Linked DNA regions of Arabidopsis thaliana. The protein of the gene in region 1 interacts with the protein of each later gene in a pairwise test. Each region holds a gene or a part of one and is shown on either strand. Other genes may lie near its edges.

Evidence for each region.
Region 2: the proteins of AT1G11540 (region 1) and RHA1 interact in a protein complementation assay, tested with the Arabidopsis thaliana proteins (one large-scale study listed by BioGRID).

Annotation. Positions count from the first base shown.
Region 1 is NC_003070.9:3,874,737-3,879,386, forward strand, and holds AT1G11540 (Sulfite exporter TauE/SafE family protein), read right to left. Parts: upstream 2,588-4,650; 5' UTR 2,487-2,587; coding exon 1,734-2,486; intron 1,530-1,733; coding exon 1,380-1,529; intron 1,285-1,379; coding exon 1,144-1,284; intron 1,049-1,143; coding exon 740-1,048; downstream 1-739. Other genes in the region: CXXS1 (C-terminal cysteine residue is changed to a serine 1), read left to right, coding at 136-258, 420-575; XTH8 (xyloglucan endotransglucosylase/hydrolase 8), read right to left, coding at 3,953-4,361.
Region 2 is NC_003076.8:18,242,517-18,247,094, reverse strand, and holds RHA1 (Ras small GTP-binding family protein), read right to left. Parts: upstream 2,833-4,578; 5' UTR 2,601-2,832; coding exon of another isoform or gene 2,562-2,600; 5' UTR 2,427-2,561; coding exon 2,364-2,426; intron 2,246-2,363; coding exon 2,168-2,245; intron 2,072-2,167; coding exon 1,904-2,071; intron 1,773-1,903; coding exon 1,724-1,772; intron 1,617-1,723; coding exon 1,543-1,616; intron 1,328-1,542; coding exon 1,234-1,327; intron 1,136-1,233; coding exon 1,035-1,135; 3' UTR 645-1,034; downstream 1-644. UniProt on the Arabidopsis thaliana protein: Involved in the trafficking of soluble cargo proteins from the prevacuolar compartment to the central vacuole. Involved in vacuolar transport of storage proteins with EREX as effector. Regulates membrane trafficking to protein storage vacuoles (PSVs).

The DNA.
Region 1 (4,650 bases):
TGTGTTACTCTTTAAGATATGAAGTTAGTGAGAATGAACCATGAATATTAATGTTCAGGATTGTGAATGAATGGCTCTGTCTTGTTTGTTTATATGAATTACCAAGAACGGTTGTTCCTTTATGGTTTTTTGCAGATTGTGGCTCATTTCACTGCATTATGGTGTATTCCTTCTGTGTTTATGAACTCCTTCTTCGAAGAGCTTGCGTTTAACTATAAGGATGCTCTGTTTCTAATAGTTGATGTTGATGAAGTTAAGGTAAAACTACTTATGTGTCTCTCTACTTGATATGTCTTTCTACTTTGGCTTCTTTGTTGAAGAGAAGTGTTTAACCATCAAGAGTAAAAGATTTAAACAGTTGCTAAATTGGTAGATGATTAATGGTTTTTCTTTGTTTTTTACTATGTTGGATTGGTCAGGAAGTGGCAAGTCAACTAGAGGTAAAGGCGATGCCAACTTTCTTGTTCTTGAAGGATGGTAATGCGATGGACAAACTCGTGGGCGCAAACCCTGATGAGATTAAGAAACGGGTCGATGGTTTCGTTCAGTCCTCACGTGTTGTTCATATTGCTTAAGAGAGATTTATAGATACGAGCAGAATACTAAATAAAGTTTGTGTGAAGTGTAATTAGTTTGTAACTTTGGTATTTGGTTTGTGTGAAATATCAAGTGTAAGTGTAAATTTTTATAAAAGCAAGTTCTGTTATAAACAAGAACTGGATTTATTTAATTTTGGTTCTTAACAGGGTAATTTGAAACCCATGTAGCGACCAGAGACAAAATCATTCCAAACATTAAAAGCTCCATGGGTTGTCATCAGTACAGTGCTAAGTGCCATGACGATACCAACTGCAAACACAATGATCGAAGCCCTCCCATACTTGGCTATAACCTTCTTAACCACCATTAGTCCAACCAGTGATGCCACGAAACAGACCAGAGCAAATATCGCAGCGGTTCCAGCATGTTCCATGCCTAGTAGTAGGTACTGGATTGCAGACATTGATGAAGAAAACAAAACCATGAACGAACATGTAGCTGCAGTTACCTGTAGAGAGAGCACGATTAACTTAAGAATCCAATTGCTTGTTTTGGTAAAACTTTGGTTCTGATGCTGCTAGAGAACAAGACTCAAGAACGTACCTCTGGAGCAATACCGATTTGGAGAAGAAGAGGACTAATGAGCATTCCACCACCAATACCAAAGAGGCCACCCAAAACTCCAGCCAAGAGAGCCATTACAGGGAGCATCAACTTGTTTTGTCTTCCTCCAACTCCAGTCTCCTGTGGAGTAATTTCAGTTTCATATTCATCAAACCTGTTGACTTTTGACCAACAGAAAAGCTAATTTAATCAACAGCAAGTAGTATGTATTGGACCTGTTCAGAGTTTTGGTTACTATGCGATGTGTGGTTGCTTTGAACATTGTCACTGAAGTAAATGCAGAGAGTAAAGAAGATAGTGAGAGGTATTTGAAGCGAGGAGAGGAACCAGTAGAGAGCTCCACATGGCTTGATCGATATGATTCCCTGTGCAAATCCAAAGTATATCAACTTCTTACTTCTACATGCCATTAAGATTTCAATAATTTGGAAAGAATTATAACACTTCAAGGAACGTTCAAATAAGTGGAGGGAATGTGGAAACAGAGCAATGAGAGCATTGAGATAGAAAAATATTCAAATCAATCGACCAAAAATCATAAATACGCGTTTAGATACTTAAATTCATACCTGACCGTATTTGTTTCCGCGGAAAAGATTAATAGAGAAGAACAATAACCAAATGATCACTAAAACTCCAAGCTTCATCCATGGAAACCTAATCATCCCTCTCTGTCTCACATCTTCTCTTTCTTCACTCAGAAGCGGCGATCTCGCTACCTCGATGCCATCAACGTCTCTTGGACTCTTAATCTTCGCTCTTTCCGACTCCAAATTCCAGTAAGAAACTCCCTTTTTACAAGTCTTCATCGTTGACCAGGCGAGGAACACAGCGAAGAGAAACAACACAAGCCAATTTGGGAACATACGGTTACAGATCACACCAATACTTACTCCGAGAAGTAGACATGGCTGAATAGTAAGAGCTAAATCGAAGTCGATTAGGGTTTTGTCTCTTGATTTAGGGTTTCTCAGGAAAAGATTGCATCCCACGTTAGCGAAAGAGACGCCGGTTACCATGAACGCTGAGAAGCTTGAAGCTGTTTTCATTTCGAGACCGGCGATGATTGTCATTATCGAGAGGAAGAGTCCACCGCCGCCGATTCCTCCGGCGCTGGAGATAGAGGCGGCGAAGAACGAGAGAACGGCGGCGATTATGGTGGGGATGGAGACTTCAATAGTTGATTGGCTGAGGTCCTCCGAGAAATGGAGCCATTGGCTTGTTGTGCTGCGGATTTGACTCTGGTCTGCAAGGGCGGATGGATTGAAGATGGTGAAGATGGTGATTAGGGAGAGGAGAAGAGGGACTAAATTGATCGTCATTTTCTTTACTTAGGGGGTTGTTTGTAACCTTTTGAAAGTTTTGGGGTTTATTTTTGTTTGGAACGTTAGAAATTTTATGCTCATTTATTGTTTGGTTTATACTTATATATGAATCAATAAAGGGTTTAGTCAACTGCAATTCTAATACAAGGTATTTATTACGGAATTAATTAATTTAAGACAATTTGGTGAAATAAAAAACTAAAGATGACAAATGCAATTATTTTTCCTATGTTTTTGTAGATCTAGTAGTATTATTTTTATTGAAATATTTATTCAAAGGAGCTTCTTTCCCATATCCTCTAGATTTGTTTTTGTTTTAGGTACTTGTAAAAAGTGGTAATAGCATTATGTATTTATTAGCTGAAAAAATAAAGACTATGGCACCAAGTTATATTTGTCTTTCTTTTACATATCAATTTTTGGAAATTAATTAAGAGAAAGGGAGAAAAGTTTGAATATTTGCATACAAGTTTGGAAAGAAATACTTGTGCTATGTGTAAATGTCCTTTGACTATCAAGACGAGAAATGGGCTAGAAACATATATGGGAGACAAGTTCTAGAGGAAAAATGATGTTAGCAAGCTTAGTTGACATTGTGGTTCAAAGTAAGTTTACGAACATATTTAATTTATAGTGTGTAAGAAAACGTACTATTTATTTTATCCCACCAGTATGTCATATTATTATTTTTATACCCAAAAGTGAGGCAATCGTAATAAAATGCAAGAAATTCAAAATTGTCAATCAAAAATGAATTGTTTTTCAAATTAAAAATGCGATAAATAGTGTTCATCACTTGGCACGTAAAAGGTTGACTTTTAATATCGGAATGAATCCGGACATAACACATGTCCAACTTGGCATATTTAGCAAACTTGGACTATTTATTAGAAGATAGTGTTTATAGAAGAAATGTACATTAAAAAACGGTAAATCGCTAATCCTAGGCCTATCCTCACGATTGTGATGTAATGTAACCCACTTCCGTTGATTTCTTCAAAGAAATCAAAAGTTGTGGGTTCTTCTAGAGATGCTACTACTACAACGATCGATGGACGATTGTCATTGATGTTATCGAATGGTAAATCGGACAAAAGTTTCTGGATATGCTCTCTTATAATATCACAATCACAAATGCTATTTCTTTTCAATAAGGTATTTGGGCTTCATTAGTAGCTGTAGCTGAACCTTTTGTTTGTCACATGTCTTTACTCTTATGCTCATCCATGTTCGTTTATATTTTTGACCCACTGTTCTGTTCTGAGACCTTAAGTGTAAGAAGAATTCTCAAGTTAATATACATCTTAAAAAGCAGTTATGAAATATAGCCGACTAAATAAATAATTAATTAAATAAATAAACAGAGGATATAGTCCATAACAAAATAAGAAATGCCAAAAAAAAGAGAGTAAAATTATTACATAAACCATTTCCACTTTAATACACTCAAAACAAAATTGATTTTAAGCCCAAGGGCTAATGGAACACTCCCAAGGAAGAGTAGGGAACCTCTCACTGTCTTTGCAATAATCGTATACGACGAGATTACGCTGCACCCACGCATAATCCATCTTCTGTGTCTTGGACAAATGCCACGCGTCGTACTGATCCCACCAATTCTCTGTTGTGGTAGAGACGCATGCAGGGAATGGATCCTTCCAACGGCAGCCTTCGACGGCGAAGTCCTTGTAAGAAGAGACGAATGGAGCTTTTTTCCAGTCAGTCTTCTCCAGACCACCACGTGTAGCCCAATCGTCAGCGTTCCAAATGCTGGAGAACAAGTACATCGGCTTCTGGTTCGGGAAGAAGTCGTTGTTTGGTACCTTATCACTGTTCTTGTATACTCGAATTGGTACCCTATCCACGAAGAACCTGGTTTGGATTGGATTAAACCGGGTTATGCATTGTACCAATCGATAAAATTAGCTTTGATTGACCAATTCGGTTCGAGTTGGTCTAGTTTGAGTTCTTTAAAGTTTGGTTAAGATAGGCTTGCTTTGGTCGGTTTGAACTTTAAACCAGATTGGAATTTTTGTGTCGGTCGAAATTTGAATCTGCACCATTTAAGTTTTCTCAAAGCTAAACGTAAGAAAACAGGATTGAACCTATTGTGAAATTAATCTGTAAACTGAATTATGTTATTGTGAGTGGAATGTTGGTT
Region 2 (4,578 bases), on another chromosome or scaffold:
GATTAGTGCAACCAAGACTCTAACATCTCCGTCAAAGCAGACCTTTTTTGTATTAAATTAGTATTACGTTTTTTTGTCACAATTGTGTTTTATTCATAATACAGAGCCAATATGATAGGTCAATATTTCACAAATACTGAAACAAACAAGTCCAACTAAAGGAAAAGCTTGTTGTACACAACATATAAAACATGTTGCAAATGGGAAACAGGTTTGGAAGACACGTGGGAAGTGGAAGGGATGGGAGTCTCCGATCACCCACAGATCGTTGTGACGTCTTTGAGACGTTGGAAAGTTTCAATTCCGGCCAAAATTTGTTCAATCGGCAGATCTCAATCTTGGCCCAAAGATACAAAGGCGAAATTCATATTTTAGCTTTGACGAGAATATGACTCCACTTTATTCAAATTTGTGAATCTTCTTCTTCAAACAACAGCTTTTCAATCTTCAAGTTGCAGTTCATCAATTGGAAATCGAAAGCTTTGACAAGAATATCATTCCACTTAATTCATAGCCGGACGAAGATGCTATCGAAGTGAGACCAAAGTCATTGGAGAAGAACGCCGGCAAAATCTGAACGGAAAAACTTCTTTCTCTTTGAAAGATGAAAGAAGAGAAGGGAGAGAGAAGCAATGCCACTTTTTTTTTTCAAAGGTGTTTCTTTTATTGATATATACATTCATATTACAGCATTCCAACAATGGAAAAAACATTTTGGAGATTTAAGTAATACAAAAGATAATAAGCCTATAAATCTGAGCATTCACTTAAAACATAAACGAAAGATAAGCACATTTTTTTCGGACTAAGTTTTGTTTTCTAATTACAAAAGAGATATATATATATAAATCTCTCCAAATACAAATATCTTCAGATTTCACAAAGGCAGAATAAGTATCATCATGATATACACTGTTGTTGTTGTCAATGCAAGCAAAGTAAAGTAACAAAGACGAAGAAGAAGCAAACACATGAAAGTCCAGATGTTCTCTACTATGTGACTAACCAAATGAGATCTCTCTTCAGGTACGAATCTAAGCACAACACGATGAACTCACTGCCGTAGCCCCTGGCCCGTTTGGGAGAACCATTCCTGTCGGGTTTTCAGCTGGCTGTACACGTGGTAGCCTTTTCGCTGTAGCGGTTTGAACAAGAGAAACAAAAGTGAAAAAGGGATTTAATTGAAAACAACTAATTGTTGGAAATAGCTTTCTTGATGAAAGAATGACTCACCTATTTCGTAGAATATGTCTTTGACATTTGTTGCGGTCTTCGCTGAGGTTTCCATAAAGAAAAGGCTGTTCTCTTGAGCATATATCTCTGCCTCCTGTAAATAACAATATCAAGAACTACTTAACAACACAACTCAGTAATGAAAAAAACAAGTCGGTAGGTGATGTAATAGAAGATTTCACAGGCACCAGTCGAATCTCATCCCCGAGTGTTAGTTAACATTTTCTCCCGGTACTTTCGAATTTCATCAAGATTTTTGGCATTAGCAAAGCAAAATCAGACAGCAAAAGAAAGAAAGATTTAGTTTACCTCTGCAGACACCTTCCTTGCGTCTAATAAATCAGCTTTGTTTCCAGCAAGAGCCATCACCATATTAGGGTTACCTATTCACATGATCCACATTAACATATAATGATACCAAATAAACCACACCAACTATCAGAAAGTAGGAATCATAAACTAGCTAAAACCAAAGTCAGCTATTCCATACCTTGTGCCTGCAGTTCCTGAACCCATTTCTTCGCCCTCTCAAATGAGGCCTGTGGCAATAGAAAAACAAAAATTAAGCAAACCTAACTTTGCAGAGAGCCTTAAACTGCCACTAAAGTCCACTGATATTCTGTAAGTCAGTGCATTCGTGACTAAAAACACAAGGATCGTGAGTTCGTACTTGATTAGTAATGTCAAAGACAATAATAGCAGCAGCTGCACCCCTGTAGTACATTGGAGCCAAACTGTGGTATCGTTCCTGACCAGCTGTATCCCATATCTCAAACTTCACAGTCGCATCATTCACAGCCAATGTTTGAGAGAAAAAAGCTGCACCAATGGTTGATTCCTACAACAAAACGAGTATCAAAAAGTCAAGAATCAACCACAGGAACGAGAAGAAAACCTCTATCAAGATCACAGGAGGAAAATGCCACCAACCAACCTGAAATTCAACAAACTGATCTTTCACAAACCGTAGCACAAGACTTGATTTTCCAGCTCCAACATCTCCTAGTAATACCTGAAGCGCTTAACCAAGTTAACCACCAAAAACAAAATAAAGGGGGAAAAAAACAGATTTTTCTTCTGACTCGTTAGAACCCTAAAACAAAACTACCAGATCGAATAAAATCTATAACCTTTACTCCAAACCCTAGTTTTATACTGATAAACCATGCGATTTCTAATTCGATCACAATCATCCAATTTCAGATCAGAGAATTTGGTTGAAAATTCCCCAAATTGGAAACAGAACTAACTCATCGAAATCAACGATCTAATCAAAATTGACGATCATCCTTCAAAGGATAAGCAAAATCCAGAAGAATTAAACTGACCAATTTGGCGTTGATGTTCTTGTTTCCAGAGCTAGCCATGATTGACTGATTGATTGATCTGAAACAGTATTTGAAGCTCGAGAAACTTCTGCTAAAATAGAAACAAAATTGAAGATGGAACCACGCGTTGACAATCGTAAGACGGAGAAGAGAGACCGAAGAAGCTTCCGTCAACAAACAACCAAATTTCTCTCTTTGTATCTCTCTCTCTCTCTCTCTTGAAGACGAAAGCAAAAAAACAGAGAAGAAAGAAACAACTTTTTTATACGGCTCGTGAATATGACAAGAGGAGACTTATAACTAAAAAAACCACAAGATTATCGAAATTACGATAAATCCCTATATTTGTCTAAAATACTAAAAACGCCCCAAAAACAAAAATATGTTACACGCTGACCTTCATATATTGTAGACGATGTCTCTTAATAATAAAGTCGATAATTGTGTATAGTTTCGTTAGTATTTCATAGATTCTTTGTAAACCATGGTTAGTCTCCCTTTTTTCAACAAAATCCAAAAATTTTGGTGGTAGTGATGGGACAAAATGTACAACCATGTTCATTTCATAGTTAGCAATAACAACGAATAATAGCGATTACTATAAACTATAATGATTAAAAATAACGACTAAAACATGTTTTGTAATCTTTAGTCACAAGTTGTTAGTTATGTAGTCCTTGGTTCAAAAAAAATAACATTTTAAATTATGGATTAGTAGTAGTCAATTATTACTTATGATATTTGTCTTTATTAATAACAAATGAAATAAACACAAATATTGTCAATACAATAGAAGCATTGTGGCGAGTGTTTAGCCAAATCCTCAATAGTAGGTTGTTGTCTCACGCGTCAAAACTGGCCGTGTGATTTAATTTTGTCGGTCATGAAGTCGTATTGGACGGTTTAAGACGAGACTGTTTTACATGTTTTGGTACCTAACTCGAAGATACTATGAATCAAATTTCTTTGGTAGTCAAAAAGAAAAAAAACTTTCTGTGTAGTCGAACAAAATATCGCTATCTACACAAATGCTGAAATGCACGTTTTTCCATATGGGTTATGGGCTTTCATCAGTGGAGCCAATTATTTAGAATTGAAGACGAGAAATTAATTTTAACTTGTTTATTTTGAAGAACAAAATTGGATGACAAAACATTATGGATGTTCAGAATAGCTATAAGATGTTATTGCTAAGTACCATTTTTGAAGGATAGCTATAACATGTTAGTAAAAAAAACTTGTCTATAACTTATAATTATAGTGAAATGACGGAATAACTGAATAATTATTAGTGGAATGAATTGAACTGAATAAATTAGTTTAATGGATGAAAATATAGTTCTAGTGGATTAATCATGTTTTTTTCTAGGTATATTGACATGCTAGTAGCCTAGTAGTATACAGCCGAATTACTTTTCGAAAACGTGAAATCGAAAAAAATTTGATAAATATTTTGAATGTAAAAAAATAGCGTTTGAAAACGTGACTAAGCGATATACCATTCATCCTTATAGTAATTTTTTGCTTAGGGAGTTTTTTTTTAGAGGAATGTTCATTCTATTACATTTAACGTAAATGGTAAACTTTTGTCAAAATATTACAAATGTTTCATCCAATCATAATCTATCCATCTAGGCTCTAAATACACATCTATTTTCACGGGAACATCAAAAACGTTACACATGTATACTGTGTGTGTATGCATTAATTTGTGGTGTATAAACAAAGAAATTTTAACAGATCATGTTGTTTTGTCCCTTTGCACAACTGAAAGTCTAATACACCTCGTATTCCACGACGATTTGTTCCCAAGTTCCATCTTCCAACTCATTCTCTCTATATATAGTAAAGTCTCCACCTCAGGAATAATCATTAATCCAAAAGAAGAAAAGTAATTATAAAAAAAACATTACATAATCAAAAGAAAACTCCCACCATATACAAAGAGTCATCGAAACAGTTTAAACAACAACAAAACAAACATAAAAAAAAAAAAAAGATGAAGCCAAAACAATTC